Mus musculus: one gene and its partners. The protein of the gene in region 4 interacts with the protein of the main gene of each other region in a pairwise test. Links are inferred from orthologs where the notes say so. Each region holds a gene or a part of one and is shown on either strand. Other genes may lie near its edges. The genes, in order: Plxnb2, Plxnb3, Plxnb1 and Arhgef11.

Region 1 (3,561 bases), on a different chromosome or scaffold from region 4:
TCTTCCTCCTGTGGGGCATTGAACGGCTCTCTGGTATCAGTCAGCTATGACGGTCAGAAGCGCTGATGCTGATGCGGGAGGGATGAGGGGAGCCTTACCGGGGGCAGGACTCACCAGTAGCAGTAGATGGAGACCACGATGATAAACACCATGGGTACCATGACCAGAGGCAGGATGAGACTGAGCGGCACGTCACTCGCACGCGTGTCGTACTCCACTCGGCCTAGCACCCACTCTCGGGAGCCAAACTTCACCTGTGTGGAAGCTAGGGCTCAGCGCAGGCAGGTGTGGGCGGCGGCGGCTTCTCCTGAGAGGCTCCCCAGGCCCTCCACAGCCCTCCCGCTCTCACGCACAATGAACTCAGGTAGGTTGTGTGCCGTGTCTCGCTTCTGCCGCCGCTTGGGTGGAGGCTGCACCTCTGGGGGCTCGCAGTACAGGTCCGTCTCGGTCAGCGTCTTCATAATGCAACGCTCAGCACCCACAAATGCCTCTGCCTCCTCCAGAGTCATGGCTTTGTTCAGATTGGTTCCCTGGAGGGGGGATGGGTGACGGAGGAATGATCAGCGTGATCAGCGTGAGCCCCTGCCCCGCCCGACCCGGGACCCCATGCCAGCCGTAGGGGTCTTCTTACCCGGGCGTGGATGAGCTTGTTGACCTGCTTTTTGACGCCACCCGTGAAGTTCTCAAAGGTGGGGTCTGCCACATACTCAAAGACTCCGGCTTCGGTCCTGAGCGGGGCACAGTGACCGTCCATCCGTATCAGCACGGTGAGGTTGTAAGCCTCGGGCTCTTCGGGGACAGCAGGAGACAAGAAGACGACCTTGGTGTCGTTGTAGAACACGTACTCCATGCCCTCGACCTGTGGAAAGGGTCCCAAAACTTGATGAAGATCTTGCTCCTCCCTCCTGCTTCCCAGCTGCCCCTGTCCCCATTAGAACTGAGCCCCCACCACCCCCAAGCCAGGACTGACCGTCACACGCTCCAGGGCTCCAGCCTCCCGCCGCCGCCGCCTCCAGGACCGCAAGGGCTCAGCGATGACAACCATGGCAAACTTCTGGATGAGGCTGAAGCCCTGGCCAGTAACGTTGATGCTCCGGCCACCACTGGGGGGGTTGAGGAGGGGCATGCTTCAGTGAGTTCAGCTCAGTCAGCTTCGAGCTTCCACTCTTACTAGTTATACCCCAGGCAGGAAGTGGCATGGCAGGGTGGTAAATGTGCATCAGAGGGAGAGGCGAGTTAAGTCGGGGAAGTGGCCCTGCTCTGACCCTGCCATCTCAGTTCTAAGGAGGAAGCCCATCAGAGTGCAGTGGGGTTTTCCAGAAGATCTCTCCTCCTGCCCTGCCCAGCCCAGTTCTGCCACATTCCTCAGGTCAGCGGGCGGGGGTGGGGAGGGCACTAGCCAGAAAGGGGAGAGGCCGCACCTGACAAAGCTTCTCAATGGCTCAAAGGCTCGTATCATGGGGTTCTCGCAGTAGGTGAAAGAGATGCCGGGGCTGGGCACTCTGGAGCCCCCATAGTAGATTTCTAGTGTCACCTGGCCTGGAGCCAACTGTTGACCTGTGACACACTGTAGCTGTGCTCCAAACTTTGTCCTAGGGTGGGAGGTACCTGTCAGTCCATCAAGCCAGTTCCACTGCCCCCTCACCCCCAACCCCACCCCCCAAGGCAGACTCAGGTCTTCCCACCCTCTCCCCAGAGCCAGGCGAGCTCAGCAGCCATGGGCGACACATACACTTCACAAGGGACGTCATTGAGTGTCACCCGCACATCCTCCTTGGAGCCTGTGTCCAGGTGAGTGCCATTGATGGTCAATGTGGTGCCACCTGCCTGTGGCCCCTGTCGTGGCTCCACACTGAGAGGCTGGGGTTGCTGAGAGCAACACACATGCATAGTTAGGGCCAAGGACTCAGGGGTCACTGGAGAGTGATTATCGTTAGATGCCAACTTGCTGGGGTGGGCAGCAGAGGCTGGACAACACAGCTCAGTCAGGCACTTACTTGATAAGTGAACTGGACGTGTGGCGGTGAATGGCCGAGTTTTCCATTAACATCCACCTCAATGCCTCCTGTGAAGGGCATCTCCGAAGCCTCAATTGCACACACAATCCTGGTGACAGACAGGCAGGTGTCAGCTCATTATCACTGCTGCATCTGTTCAGCTGCTAGGAGCCCAGGCTGCTCGGAGTTCACTCACCGGGTGGATACGGAGTACCCTCTTGGTTCAAAGGCACAGTTCTGGCCAGCCACAGTTATCTTCTTGACGTCATCTGCTTTGACACCCAGATTGGACCCATGGATAGTGACCAGGATGCCCCCACCCAGCGGGCCCGTCTCAGGCTGGATCTGAAATCAGCAGAGCCGGGTGCATGAGTGGCTTGGGTGGGTGAACGTGAAGGGGGTATGGGGGTACAGGTCAGACGGTGACAAAACTCACCCTAGTGATAACTGGTGGTGGGCACTCAGAAGTGACATTGCTGCACAGAGCTTCGTACACGCACCGGTTCTGCCCACGGCACCACACACACCTGTAGGCAGGATCGGCAGCCAGACACAGGCTACAGTCACTGCGGCCAAAGGAGCAGTTGTAGAGAGTCACTGTGGAGGAGGACGTAGAGTTAGCTGTTGTTCTGTTCCCTCTCCCGCCTTCCCCAGACCCCACCCACCCCCTACCTTGTAGCTTGCTGTCAATGTTCTTGCCAAAGGACTTAACATACAGGTGAAGAGGCAGTGTCTCATTACCATCATGGGATAGCTGCATGGGACACACAGGGACAAACTGTACTTTCTGTCCCTCTGACACCAAAAGCCATGGGAATCTCTCAATTGCCCAAAGTCAGTGATGGTTGCCAGGTAGGCAGGGACTGGGGAAGAGTCAGACACACACACACCATGGGACCATGAGTTTGTTCAGGGACATAGGCAGAGATGCTTGGAGACCACAAGGCACAGGGCAGGAGGCTAGGCTAGGCTCCAGTGCTAGGGGTAATACCCACTACCCTCCAGCCCTTAAGACAAGCAGTGGTACCTTTGGGGTCCTAAAAGAGAAGGTGTCTGATTCATGCATGGTCACAGTCTCTTCAAAATTCAGCAGCTCACTGCCCACATACAGGGAAGAAACCTGTGGAGAGTCCAGTCAGCATTTTCTACTCAAGCTGGCTAACTGTTCTGCCCTCTGGGGGCATAGAATCTGTATCTCCAGAAGCTCCCGAAATACCCCACCACCTAGTCTGCCCCATGCTCGGGTGCCTCCGAAGACCCTTTGCCTCCCTCTGTAGCAACAATTATGGCATTTTGGTTTCTTTAAACCACACAGGACTATTGTAAGAGTGTGCTTTCGTTTTAGTCCCACATGTGGGGCTGCTTTGGACTGTCCATAGCAGCTGACTATGATTTGCCTCGTGCTCTAGCAGAGGCACAGTTTGCCAGCTGTGGAGTATTTTCTGCGATTGTGTAACGCTTGGAATTCTGGGAACTTTCTGGGGAGTCTTATAGATGCCAGAGCCCTGAGAGGTGAGGGCTGGTAGTTGTTGGTCGTTTGGGGGTGGGGGTGAGTGGTTTGTTA
Region 2 (4,174 bases), on a different chromosome or scaffold from region 4:
CCAAGCAATGGTGGTCAGGCAACACAGTGATACCTATATGATACCTGCAGGCATGATGTCCCCCAAGGGTGTTGGCAGTGGAGCTAGGAGAGCAAGAACCAAACTTCTGACCCAAAATGAGAAAGCTGGCATCATCCTGGAATTCGGTGCAATGTAAGGAGGCTGTCTGCTTGGTTCCCCACCCCACCATCAACCAACTGGCTCAGCCAGATGGTAAGGGCCACCTGCCACTTCACCCTGAAGCTTGTTGCTACTGTGAACTAAAGAAGTAGCAAAGAGGTTGGGGATTTAGCTCAGTGGTAGAGCGCTTGCCTAGCAAGCGCAAGGCCCTGGGTTCGGTCCTCAGCTCTGGGAAAAACAAAAACAAAAACAAAAAACAACAACAACAACAAAAAAACAAGTAGCAAAGACTCTAAAGCAAGTAAAAGTGTCCCTGTACAATGGGCCCTTAGGCTAGTTGGCCCCCAAGGTGCCCTATGAGAGCAGCAAGGGAGCCAGCTGCTACTGGCACTCCCTTCCCTCCTATGGTGGAAGGATCCAGACCCATCCGGAAGGACCTTCTGGTCCTATGTCTGAAGCCCAGGGCTCAATCCTGGCAAAGTCCCCTGTGGTCTCCCTGCCTCAGCCCCTCCCATGCATTATCCTCTTCTGATTTTCCCCACTACCATTCTGTACCTGGCACAGCTTTGCCAGTCCTTGGGGGTAGGACTGGGTGGGGACAATCTTCTCTCAAGCCAGTAGGCGGGGGAGAAGGTCTTTGCCATGAGCTGTCTTTGTCAGTGCCTCCTCTGCCTTAGCCTGGACAAAGACAGGCATTGACAGCTGGCACTAGCACTTCAGCCAGGACCAAGGCTACTGACACTGAGGCTGAGGCTGTCATTTCAGGGGCTCAGTGCCTTTGGCCCTGTGGTGGGGGCTTAAGGGCTACCCAGTGCTCTTTACGGAGACCCAGAGAAACTCAGGGAGGGAGCACTCTGCACTGGCACAGGAGTTGTGAACCACATGGGGAAAATTGGCTCAAGGAAACCCTGTCCTTTTGTCTCTACATCCCAGGGGGTTTCTCCCTGGAGATGGGGAGTGGCAGGGAGCTCCCTGGCTAGAACAGCCAGAGTGGGGGTAAGAACACCAGATAGCAGGTCCCTGGCCTGGGCCTCTGGACAGAGGGGACATTGTTGGGGTGGAGGCAGGGCTGCCTTGGCCAGGCCACTATTGACAAAGCTGCCAGCTGTGGTGGAGCCCGATCTCCAGGCCCTTGCCCCCTCCCCTGCCTCCTTCCTCCCCCAGGGCCACCATGAATGGGGCTGAGCCTCAACTGTCTCCCTCCCACTCAGGACAATGCCCCCCACAGCCATCTTGTGCCCGTCGCCACTGCCCTGAGGCAGCTGATGTGAGGAGACCCCATTTCTGCACTCCGTAGTGGTGGTAAGTGTCTGGGCCCTATGTCCCCCAAGGTGTCCCAAAGAGATGTAGAGAGGGATAAATTTGGCTGGACTAGGGCACAGAGCAGTCTTGCAGGGAGCTTCCATCTCCTCTGCGTTTTTGGGTAACAACTCCCATCTCCTCCATTACACACACCCACCTCTGTCACAGCGATACATGGGCACTAGAGAAAAGTATATTTCCTGTCTGTGCTCTTGAGATAAGGGGACTTGGGGTCTTTTTGAGTAGCAGTGGGTGGCTTCTGGTGGGCACATGACTAACTGTGATGATCCCAACTCAGTTCAGGAACTGTCACCAGCTCCTGCCCTCTTTCTAGAGCTCTACGCAGGGTTAAATCTGTCTGGATGTCACCTAGTTAGGCAGTTGGTCAGTGGCTGCTGCTGACTGCTCTTGGAGGAGAGCTGGGGACTGGCACCTGTCCTCAGTGCCTCAGACTCAAGGTCCTCTCCACTCACCTGGAGCTACCTCTATCCTACTTCCCTTCTCTCTGATCTTTCATGGCTCTTCTCATCAGTGCTCCTACATTGAGGACCCTTCTAAAACTAGGTTTCCACAGACTCTAGATGCTGGGGTCCATCACTCTTGTACTCTGAGTTGCCTCCTAGTGCCTCACAGTTCCCCTAGAACCATCTAGGCTGGCTCAAAGCTCTCCTACCACCTCTATACTGGCCACCCAGTAGTGGTCTAAAGCCCTGGCCCTGGCCACCTATTCATTACTGTTTTGGGAGTAGTGTGCCTATGTCTAGCTGCATCTTGGCCGGAAGCCAAAGCTCTTCTTGGTTGTCTTGTCCAGTTAGTGAAGGTTCCTATATGAAGCTGGTTCTGACTGTATAGAGTGGGTTTTCTGTCCCTGTCCCTTTTGCCATGGGTATCCTGTCTTTACATGTGATGATCTGGCTTCTCTTATCATCATGTCTTTTTGTCTAGGTGACAGTATCTAGTTGCCCGCAGACACGACTTCCTTTTTCCATTTCCCTCCCTTTTCCTGCCCTTGTCACTCAGAATTCCTCTGTCATGCCTTTATAGCTTCTCAGGATCTGTCCTCTTTCTAGTCTACATGCAAATAAAGCAGAAGATGAAAAAATTATTTCCTTGTGTGTGTCCTCATCTCCATCCTGTCTCTTTCTCTATCTATAGGACACTTTCTTTGTCTTTTCTGTCCTCTTCCTGGCTGCCTCCCTCTAAGTACCCCCACCCTTCCTCTCTTCCTCTCTCTTCCTCCCCTCCTTCCCCTGTCTCTCTAGCCTCTTTTGCCTTCCTCTGGTAATGTCTCTTTCCTAGTTTAGCTCCCATTCTTTCCCTTGCCCACTTCTGCCTGTTGAAGAATGAAGCATTTTTAGCATTCTCCCATCAGGTCTTATGCTGACTGACTTCCTCCAGGCTCCTGTGATGGCTCCCTGGTCTCCCTTCAGCCTCCACCTGCTGCTGCTGTTCCTGCCGCTGCTGCCTTTGACCAGGGTCCATCGCTTCTCTGTACCAAATACCAGCTTCAACCACCTGGTGCTGGCACCAGATCAGGGCAAACTCTACGTGGGTGCAGTGAATCACCTCTTTCAGCTCAGCCCTGAGCTGAAGATGGAGTCTGTGGCTGTCACTGGCCCTGTCATTGACAGTCCTGATTGTGTGCCTTTCCGTGACCTGGCTGAGTGCCCACAGGCCCAGCTCACTGACAATGCCAACCAGCTCTTGTTGGTGAGCAGCAGGACACAGGAACTGGTGGCTTGTGGGCAAGTGAAGCAGGGTGTATGTGAGAAGCGGCGCCTTGGGGATGTGACTCAAGTGTTGTACCAGGCTGAGGACCCTGGTGATGGGCAGTTTGTGGCTGCCAATACCCTGGGAGTGACCACAGTAGGCCTAGTGGTGCCCTTGCCAGGCCGAGACCTCCTGCTAGTGGCCAGAGGCCTGGCAGGCAAGCTGTCAGCAGGAGTGCCACCCCTAACTGTGCGCCAGCTGGCTGGGCCACAGCCTTTCTCCAGTGAAGGACTGGGAAGACTTGTGGTCGGTGACTTTTCAGACTACAACAATAGCTATGTAGGAGCTTTTTCTGATGCTCACTCTGCCTACTTTGTGTTCCGTCGCCGTGGGGCTCGGGCCCAGACTGAGTATCGCTCCTATGTAGCTCGTGTCTGCCTCAGAGATGTCAACCTTTATTCCTATGTGGAAATGCCACTTACCTGCCATGGCCAGGGCCTTATCCAGGCTGCCTTCCTTACTCCAGACACTTTGCTAGGTGCATTTTCAGCAGGCACAAGTCAGGCACAGGCGGCCCTGTGTGCCTTTCCCTTAGCTGACCTGGACAGGAGTATGGAACAAGCCAGGCGACTTTGCTATACTACTGGTGGTCAGGGTCCTAGCGGCATGGAAGAAGCCACTGTGGAGTATGGTGTCACATCCCGTTGCGTCACTTTGCCTCCTGTGAGTGGTGAGAGCCTGGCTCCCAAATTTTGATTGGGGGTTCTATCTTCACTTTCTGTGCCTTGCCCTGCTTTGCCAGCCCTCTCCCTCTGTGACATGGGACAGAGTACTCTCCAGGAATAGCTACTGGTTCACCTCTTAGCTGAGTATATCAATAGGTAGCAGTTGGCTGTCTCGAAACTCTGATCTGCTCTCAGCCTTCCAATTCTTCCTAATCCCTTTCTCACTGACTGTGGGGTGTCCTCTGTTCCCAGGGGAGTGCCTACCCACTCCCTCCTGAAAACTGATTCTCTACACCTTGCCTATCTAGGACTCCCCC
Region 3 (4,361 bases), on a different chromosome or scaffold from region 4:
TACACTGAGAAACACTTTCCCCTCCTTGTGCCCAGGCCACACTGCCCAGGCCCTCCCACCACCCAGCTGCCAGGCTGTCTATGTGGAAGATTCCCAGAATTCCCTTCTTTGCCCCTGGATTGGCCCATATACCAGAGGCCGCGGCAAGGCGCTCCTGAGGCTGCCCTATCCTAAGCTAGGCTGGGTACAAGGCTGAGAGGAAGGTCCAGCAGCCTGGCGGGAGCAAGGACTCTGTGGTCACAGCCCAGTGGGAGCAGGGGGCCATGGCCAGTCTGGCTGGGCACGGCTCCCAAAATAGCTTGGGGGTTTCCATTTTTAGTGTGGAGAGAACAGGGAAGCTCTATGGGAGCAGGAACAAGGCTGCCTCTGTTTGCCACCCAAGGGGGTTGGGGTTGAGGGGTGGGGGGGGTGGGGGGGAGGCTGCAGGGAAAGTCTTGAACCCAGCCAGAAGCCCAGGACTGTGGTAAGGCCAGGCTACTAAAAAGCCTGCTACCTTGTTTCTTCCTCTGGAAGAGCAGAAGCCATCTCCTGCTCTCTGCTTCTGCCTAACTCTCTCCAACCACCTTGGGCTACAGACCCTGGGCCTTGGGCACAGGGTCCCACAGTGAGGCCAGCACTTGCCGCTTCATGAGCTTGTAAATATTTGCTTAGCGCCTACTGCATGCCAAAGTTTCTCAGCCCTCAAGGGGCAGTAACAAAGCCACTCCCCAAACTGAAGTTGAGGGGAACACACAGAAATGTGAGGGCTCCAAAAAGCTCAGTGGACAGGTCAGAGGTTGACTCTCTGTAAGAAACGACATCCATAGGGCTGCATACCACGGGCAGGGAAGGACAAAGGAGACTGACATTTTTCTCCTCCACATTAGCACACAGATTTCACTGGACGTCAGCTACACGCCACAGAGGCATCTCTAGTCCCTATGAGGACCTCACTGGAATTTTGTTAAACAACAGTGGAGTGCACACACTCAGGCTTTTGGGGTACCCTCAGGCTGAAGAGAGAAAGGTCAAGACCCTCTCCCCCACACCCTCCCCCACACATGCCCCTCGTTCCAGCCTAAACTGCAGGCTTGTTCTTCTGTTCCTCCCTGCCAATACAAGGGCTGTTCCCTCAGCCTGGAATGCCCACTCCCTCTGTCTCCCATTACCTCCCACACCCTGCCATCACCTCCCTGAGGAGCCTCCTGAGGCCTCTCCGGCTCCCGAGGAGGTAACCCTGTGTGGTAGATGAAATGGACACGCCCAGCTACCAGGCCTGACCTATCTATCCTGCTCTTCCTTGGGCTCTGAGCCTCAGATTTCCCATTAGTGGGAGGGGAGGAAGGACTCCTCTGGGGTGTACCTGGCATGAGTGGGCCCCGAGACCATTTTCTTCTGTTCCGTCCTCCCACCCTAGACAAGAGCTCTTTAAAGGCAGAGAGTACCTGCTTTTTATAAGAAGGCTCCAGTAACCAGCAGACCCAACGCAGAGCAGGTGTTCCCTACATGGTGACAGAGCCCCCATTTCACTGCCAAGGAGATCCAGACTAGAGGGGTAATATGGAGCTCACACTCCGCTTTCAAGCCTCTTAGCATCTCAAAAGCCGAGGAATCGGCCCAGTTTTATTAATGATCGGACTAGGGCTTATTTGGAGCCAAGCCTCACGTCCCTAACTTGCACTGCCAGTATCTCCTCCCTAACTCCCCACATCTCAGGCTGTCCAGGCTCATCGCCAAAGTCTAACTAACTCTGCCTGTGCCCAGGCCTGCCCCATAGGCCTCTTTAGAACCCACACTCCCCGAAACCCTACGGCAGGGCCCAAGACTGGTTGCCTGACTTCTGCAAAGGACAAGCAACACCTAACCCTCTCCTGCAGCTGCTCTCACAACCAAGAAGACTCACAAATTCAGCCCCTTCCACATCTGCACTTGTCTGGGAGTTGGGGGAAACTGGCCTTCCCTTTCTGAGCTCGGCCACCCACACTCCCGCCCCTATCCCAGTATCCACTTAAAAGGGAGAGTTACTTTTTGACAGTGAAGTGGTGTGCACTACACACCTGCCGTCTGGATGTTGAGTAGGGTGGAAGGGAGCCATCATTTACCAGACACCCGCCATAAATTAAGGCGCTCGTCAAGCACCGGCTGGGTGTGTGGGTACCGAGACAGAGTCCAAGTGTTAAAAGGCTCGTGGTCCTCCTTTGTCAGTCTCTGCCTGAAAGATCTGTTATCCTATGGGGAAGCCTCCACTTCCTTGCTTCGACTCATCCTCAACCCTCCTCCCTCCGCCGCTCCACGGGACAAAGACCCCACCAGTGGCCCAGGGAGGGCGGGGAAGGGGCCGGCCGGTCCCGAAAGCGGCGGTGGCGGCAGCGAGGAGGGGGCGCGGAGGAGCAGCTCCACCTCCTCTGTCTCCCAATCGCGTTACAGGCGGTGCCGCCAGAGTTTGCCTTCGCGCGCGCGAGTGTGGTCCCAACTCTGAGGACCGAAGCCACCCACCGGAGACACCACTCCGGCTGCCTGTGCCCAGCGGGATCGAGGCCTCGGGCCGTTCCACCTGGGTGCGCGCGGCTCTCGCCTGCAACCCCGCCTTCCCTGCCCAAGTCTCGCAACTCACCGCCCGACCCTCCTGCGGGATGCGCGCGGCGAGGCGTCCGCCCGCAGCTCCGGGCTAGCTCAGATCTGCGCGCGGCGGCCTTCCCTCCCCTCGGAGGTGGGTCTGGCGGAGCCGCAGCTGTTACCCGGAGACCGAGGGGCGGAAAAAACTGCGCCCGCCGCCCGCCCCTCCCGCCGCGGCGCTGCCTCCGCTGGGAACAAAGGAGACAAAGCCGCGTCGGCCGGCCCGGGCTCCGCTCCTTCCACCCCCCCACCCCCCGCCCGTCGGGCCGCCCTCCCCCCGCGCGCCGCCCGGACCAGGCCGGAAGCTGCCGGGAGAACGGGGTACGCGGCCCCAGCCATCCGGGACCCCGCATTCCGGTCCCGCGGGATCCGAGTTTGTGAAGGGCCTGGGGGGGTGATCAACCCCTCTCATTAAATGGGGGCTGCAGCGCCCGGGCGGTAGTCATGGCAACGCAGACGTGTAGGGTGAGGAGCGGAGCCGGGAGCGTGGGCGGTCCGCCCCGCCCAGCCGGGCCTCACCTGCGCGCCGCTTAGGACCAAGAGGCTACGGCCATGGTTGCGAGCCTTATTACCTGGGCGTTGAGATACAGCACTGGAGCCTTTCCCCGTCCTGCCAGAGTTCGAGGGACTTGTGCCCCACACCTGCTCTGCCTGTTCCATAACCACCATCTTGACTATCCCCAACGCACCTCGCCCAGCGCCCGGAGCGCCCTCATTCCCTTCTAGATCCCGGCCCTTGGAGCCATCCTCTCCCCCCAACTTTCTTCACCTGGTCTCCTAGACGCCAGCTTCTCCTCTTCTCACCTGGCCCTGCCCACCTTTCCTTCTTTCAATACTCCACAACACCCAACCTCTCCTTCCGGCCCCCACCCCTGGCTGTTTGAAGAGAGCCCGGGCTTTGGACCTGAGTTTGCGCCATCACTAAGCCATGTAACCTGACACCCCTTCCCCCCCCACACACACACACCCCGACCTTTTTGCTCCCTGACTAATAGGGGGTAATACCACCAAAGCTGAACTGTGTAAGCAGGGCATACTGGCTGTGAGGTGCAGAAGTAGGGTCTTATTTCCTTCCCTCCTCCACGGCCTGTACCTGGAGCCATGCAGAACTCAGAAGCCTTGAGCAAGTCTGGACTCCCTCCTTGGAAAACACCTGGGTCTTTCTGGGAAGGAAACCCTGGGCAGAGGTTCTCTCCTGAGGGCTTTATGCAGGGCGGTTCACACCCGGGCTTGCCAATGGCAATCTGTGGAGCCAGGACCTGACCCATCCTGAGGGCTTTTGAAGGACTTTGGCTCAAGGCCATTGGCATAGTGTCCAGAAAGGGAAAAACTGCATATACGTCACCTGGAAGCCTCTAAGGTTAGAGGGCTCTAAATCGGGGGAAGCCGTCTTCCGTATCTGCCACTTCACTAAGGGCTGATGCCAGGCTGCTCTACCATCACACCCTCAGACTCCCGTGGGGTGGGGTGGGGGTGGGGTGCTGGCTTGATTTATGTCAACTTGACAGAAGCTTGAGTTATCTGAAAGAATGAACTTCAGTGGAGAAATCGCTCCATAAGATCCCCCTGTAGGGCATCTTCTTAATTAGTGATTGACAGGGGCGGTCCCAGTCCATTGAGGGTGGGGCCCCCCTGGGCTGGTAGCCCTGGGTTCTGTAAGAAAGCATACTGAGCAGTAAGCGGCACCCCTCCACGAGGTTCTGGCCCTGCTTGAGTTCCTGTCCTGTCCTGTCCTGTTCTGTTCCTGTCAGTGATTAACAATGATG
Region 4 (3,052 bases):
TGCCAACCTCCAGGGAATCTCCAACCAAGGTAACTCTCCCTCATCTCTAGCCCCTCCTCTACCTTCCAGAGCTCCAGCCCCGGCTGGCAAGTGGCTCTGGGGATCTCTCCGGCTGCTCTGAGTCTCAGTCACTGTGTTAAGGTGCACCATGGCTTTTCCAGTTATGTCCCAGGTCCTCTAAGGCATGGCTCAGCTGCCATGGCTCTTCCTGGTCTGTGGGAAGGAGGGCAGTGTGGTAACCCTCTTCATGGTTTGCATCTGAGAGTAGGTCACAGCAGCCCTGTTCCTTCGTGTGACGTAACCACAATGTCCTTTTCTGGGCCAGAGCCAGTTGTCCAACCTCTGCTGAGAAGGTCTACACACCGGCACTTTGGGACAGGTGGAAAGACCTGGTGCAGGATGGCTGTGGCAGGGGCTTTCTTGTCTCCCTCTACCCATTTTTGACCGGTCACACCGGCAGCCTCACACCCTCTATCAGGCTAAGAATCATACAACCACAATGGAAGAATATTTAACTTTTCTTTAAAAAAATCTTAACCATGAAAGGAAGAAAATAAGAGTATACATTATTTTAACAGTAAAACAGTCATTTCCATATCTATATTTTATATATTATATATATTTATATATATGTATATATACACCTAGCACAGTGTGTATGTTCATTGTAGGGAGTGGCGTGAGGACAGGGTGATGAGCCAACGGTGCTGTGGCCCCTGGGGAAGGAAGGGCCCTGACTTAACTCAGGGACTCCAGCAATCCACTCCACATCTCTCTTGAGAGTCTGTGTTGAGATCCGTACCTGGTGTATTGTTTCTATGGGGCAAGTGGGGAAGGGCTGGGTAAGACACTCCCTGCAGGAGCATTTCCTGACACTGAGAAGGCCTAGGCTTCAGAGGTGGGCAGGCCCTGGAGCTTGACAGCACTGGAATCTGGGAGACCTCCCTGCCAGTGGGACATAAACAATCATGGCCCTGTGCGGGGCTGCTGCCTGGCTCTCTGTGACTGGTTGAACATGCCAGGGACAGAATAAAAGGCTAAGTTATTTACAATGGCAAAGATACACATACAATAGACATATTTATAGGAAACTAAAGGGCAAAGAGGAGAGCCAGGCATCTAGCTGTCTCGGGGCCTAGGAAGAAGAGGAGGAAGAAAGTGCATTTATACATAAGCCTCCTCAAGGGCACTGTGCACATAGCACACCCCACACTGGCTATGTGGGGTGGAGGCCTTTCTATTGTGGTCAGCATGCTTAGGAGACGAAAGCCACGGAGACTTGGGCTAACAGGAGGAAGAGACACTAAACTGGACTGTCTGGTGGGAACAGACCAGGCAACATGAGGGATTCCCAGGCCTCACAGTATCTTTCACGGGGAGGCTCGGATCTCCTAATGTGGCGCTCTGGCTCAGGCCAGACTCTGGTTGTCTGGATGGCTATGGTCCTGGTGACGAAGCTGTGTCTGTGGCACTGTCTTCCAGGGGGGTGTCGGAGCCTGTGGGAAGATGGTGAGGGTGAGACGCTGGCTACATTTGAGAGGTTCTCTTTCATGTCCCTGGCTGATTCTTGAGTGCCAGCTGTGACAAAGCTTATATGTAATAGAGTGTGTGGAAGCTAGACAACTTGTTGGAGTCGGTTCTCTCCTTCCATGTGAATCCTGGGGCTCGAACTCAGATGGTCAGGCTTGGTGAGCCATCTTGTCAGTCCAAGCCTTGTTTCCTGTGGGACTGCATTTCTTTCCAGGCGCCAAAACCAAGACAGGTTAGGCGTTTTAGCTTTCTGAATTCGGTCCTTGCCCTTATAACCCAGGTCTGAGCCACTAAGAACCTGCTGCAGAGGTAAGGCGGCTTTCCTGGTACATTACTTCCTCAAACCAACATAAATAGAAGGTTCTGGGGGCTGAGAGATGGCTCAGTGGTTAAGAATACTTTCTACTCTCCCAGAGCGCCCAGGTTCAATTCCCATCACCCACATGGCAGCTCACAACCACCTATAACTCCAGTTTCAGTCCTCTTCTGGCATCCTTTGGTACTGCATGTATGTGATATACAGACTTACATGCAGGCAAGAGGTTCTGTACTACTAGTCCCTATTTGGGGGGGAGTCTCTGTGTAGCTTGCCTATAAAGATCACTTTCTGGGGCTGGAGAGAGTTCAATGGATAATCAGAACACCTAGAAACAGGACACAGGAGAACAAACTGGTGGGTGGGCCGGCCAGCCTGGCTCATCTAGCGGTGAACATAGATGCTGCCTCAGGGTGGAAGGCAAGAACGGACAACTGAAGTTGTTCTCTGACAGACTCCCCCCTCCCGGCCTGGAACTATATACCTCCAACTCACAGAAATTCAGCTGCATCTGTTTCCTGGGTGTTGGGATTAAAGGCACAGCACTGTGCCTGGCAAACTTTCTCTGTGAAGCTGAGGGAATGTGCTTGCTCTTTCTTAGGGAAGAGTCATGGGAGCACGGCCCACTACCTGCTCACACTTACTCCTGGTTCACAGCATTCCCTCAGGCAGCACATGCAGGGGTTGGCTTCACTCACCTTCTTCAGGGTAGGACCCCTGCTCCTGATTGTTTTGGGGGTCAGAGGTCAGGGCTTCCTTGGCTGGAGGAGAGAGGGAGTAGTCTGTCCATCTGGCTGCCTCTGTGTGAAAACTTCCCACAGGAGTGGTTCCACCAGACGACTCTCCTCCAAGGGAGTTGAGCAGCTCTCTGTGGGCCAGCTCCATGTCCTACAAGAGTTGAAGGAGGTGTCTTCCCTGTGCTAAGGCTCAGAGGGTGCGGGAGGGTACGCAGGGTAGCATAGGACTCCAGTTGAAGAGATATACTTCCTGAGTTGGGGATGGAGCTTAATGTTTGTCTAGCTTGTGTGAGGCCCTCGTCTCAAATTTCTATCAGTTTCCCTCTCGGGGAACTGTCCCGGGTACTGGATGGACGGCTTCCTGCCCCAAGGCTGCACCCCTCACCTTGAGTCTGTGAAGCTTGACGGTCAGTTGCTCGATGGTGTGGAAGATCACACCCATATCCCTGAGGACCAGGCTGGAACGCTG

Evidence for each region.
Region 1: the proteins of Arhgef11 (region 4) and Plxnb2 interact in a two-hybrid assay, tested with the Homo sapiens proteins (2 studies listed by BioGRID). The link is inferred for Mus musculus from reciprocal best matches to the Homo sapiens genes ARHGEF11 and PLXNB2.
Region 2: the proteins of Arhgef11 (region 4) and Plxnb3 interact in a two-hybrid assay, tested with the Homo sapiens proteins (2 studies listed by BioGRID and IntAct). The link is inferred for Mus musculus from reciprocal best matches to the Homo sapiens genes ARHGEF11 and PLXNB3.
Region 3: the proteins of Arhgef11 (region 4) and Plxnb1 interact in a two-hybrid assay, tested with the Homo sapiens proteins (2 studies listed by BioGRID). The link is inferred for Mus musculus from reciprocal best matches to the Homo sapiens genes ARHGEF11 and PLXNB1.

What each region holds. Positions count from the first base shown.
Region 1 is NC_000081.6:89,160,254-89,163,814, forward strand, and holds part of Plxnb2 (plexin-B2 precursor), read right to left. Parts: intron 3,118-3,561; coding exon 3,025-3,117; intron 2,752-3,024; coding exon 2,670-2,751; intron 2,656-2,669; exon of another isoform or gene 2,595-2,655; coding exon 2,434-2,594; intron 2,343-2,433; coding exon 2,194-2,342; intron 2,107-2,193; coding exon 1,998-2,106; intron 1,870-1,997; coding exon 1,733-1,869; intron 1,593-1,732; coding exon 1,422-1,592; intron 1,104-1,421; coding exon 971-1,103; intron 860-970; coding exon 632-859; intron 531-631; coding exon 354-530; intron 255-353; coding exon 115-254; intron 9-114; coding exon 1-8.
Region 2 is NC_000086.7:73,755,729-73,759,902, forward strand, and holds the start of Plxnb3 (plexin-B3 precursor), read left to right. Parts: upstream 1-1,374; 5' UTR 1,375-1,422; intron 1,423-1,437; exon of another isoform or gene 1,438-2,794; 5' UTR 2,795-2,799; coding exon 2,800-3,855; intron 3,856-4,165; coding exon 4,166-4,174. UniProt on the Homo sapiens protein: Receptor for SEMA5A that plays a role in axon guidance, invasive growth and cell migration. Stimulates neurite outgrowth and mediates Ca(2+)/Mg(2+)-dependent cell aggregation.
Region 3 is NC_000075.6:109,093,878-109,098,238, reverse strand, and holds the start of Plxnb1 (plexin-B1 precursor), read right to left. Parts: upstream 2,804-4,361; 5' UTR 2,594-2,803; exon of another isoform or gene 2,407-2,593; intron 2,284-2,406; exon of another isoform or gene 2,005-2,283; intron 1,974-2,004; exon of another isoform or gene 1,425-1,973; intron 1,377-1,424; exon of another isoform or gene 1-1,376. UniProt on the Homo sapiens protein: Receptor for SEMA4D. Plays a role in GABAergic synapse development. Mediates SEMA4A- and SEMA4D-dependent inhibitory synapse development. Plays a role in RHOA activation and subsequent changes of the actin cytoskeleton.
Region 4 is NC_000069.6:87,735,488-87,738,539, reverse strand, and holds the end of Arhgef11 (rho guanine nucleotide exchange factor 11), read right to left. Parts: coding exon 2,969-3,052; intron 2,735-2,968; coding exon 2,545-2,734; intron 1,618-2,544; exon of another isoform or gene 1,497-1,617; coding exon 1,438-1,496; 3' UTR 501-1,437; downstream 1-500. UniProt on the Homo sapiens protein: May play a role in the regulation of RhoA GTPase by guanine nucleotide-binding alpha-12 (GNA12) and alpha-13 (GNA13). Acts as guanine nucleotide exchange factor (GEF) for RhoA GTPase and may act as GTPase-activating protein (GAP) for GNA12 and GNA13.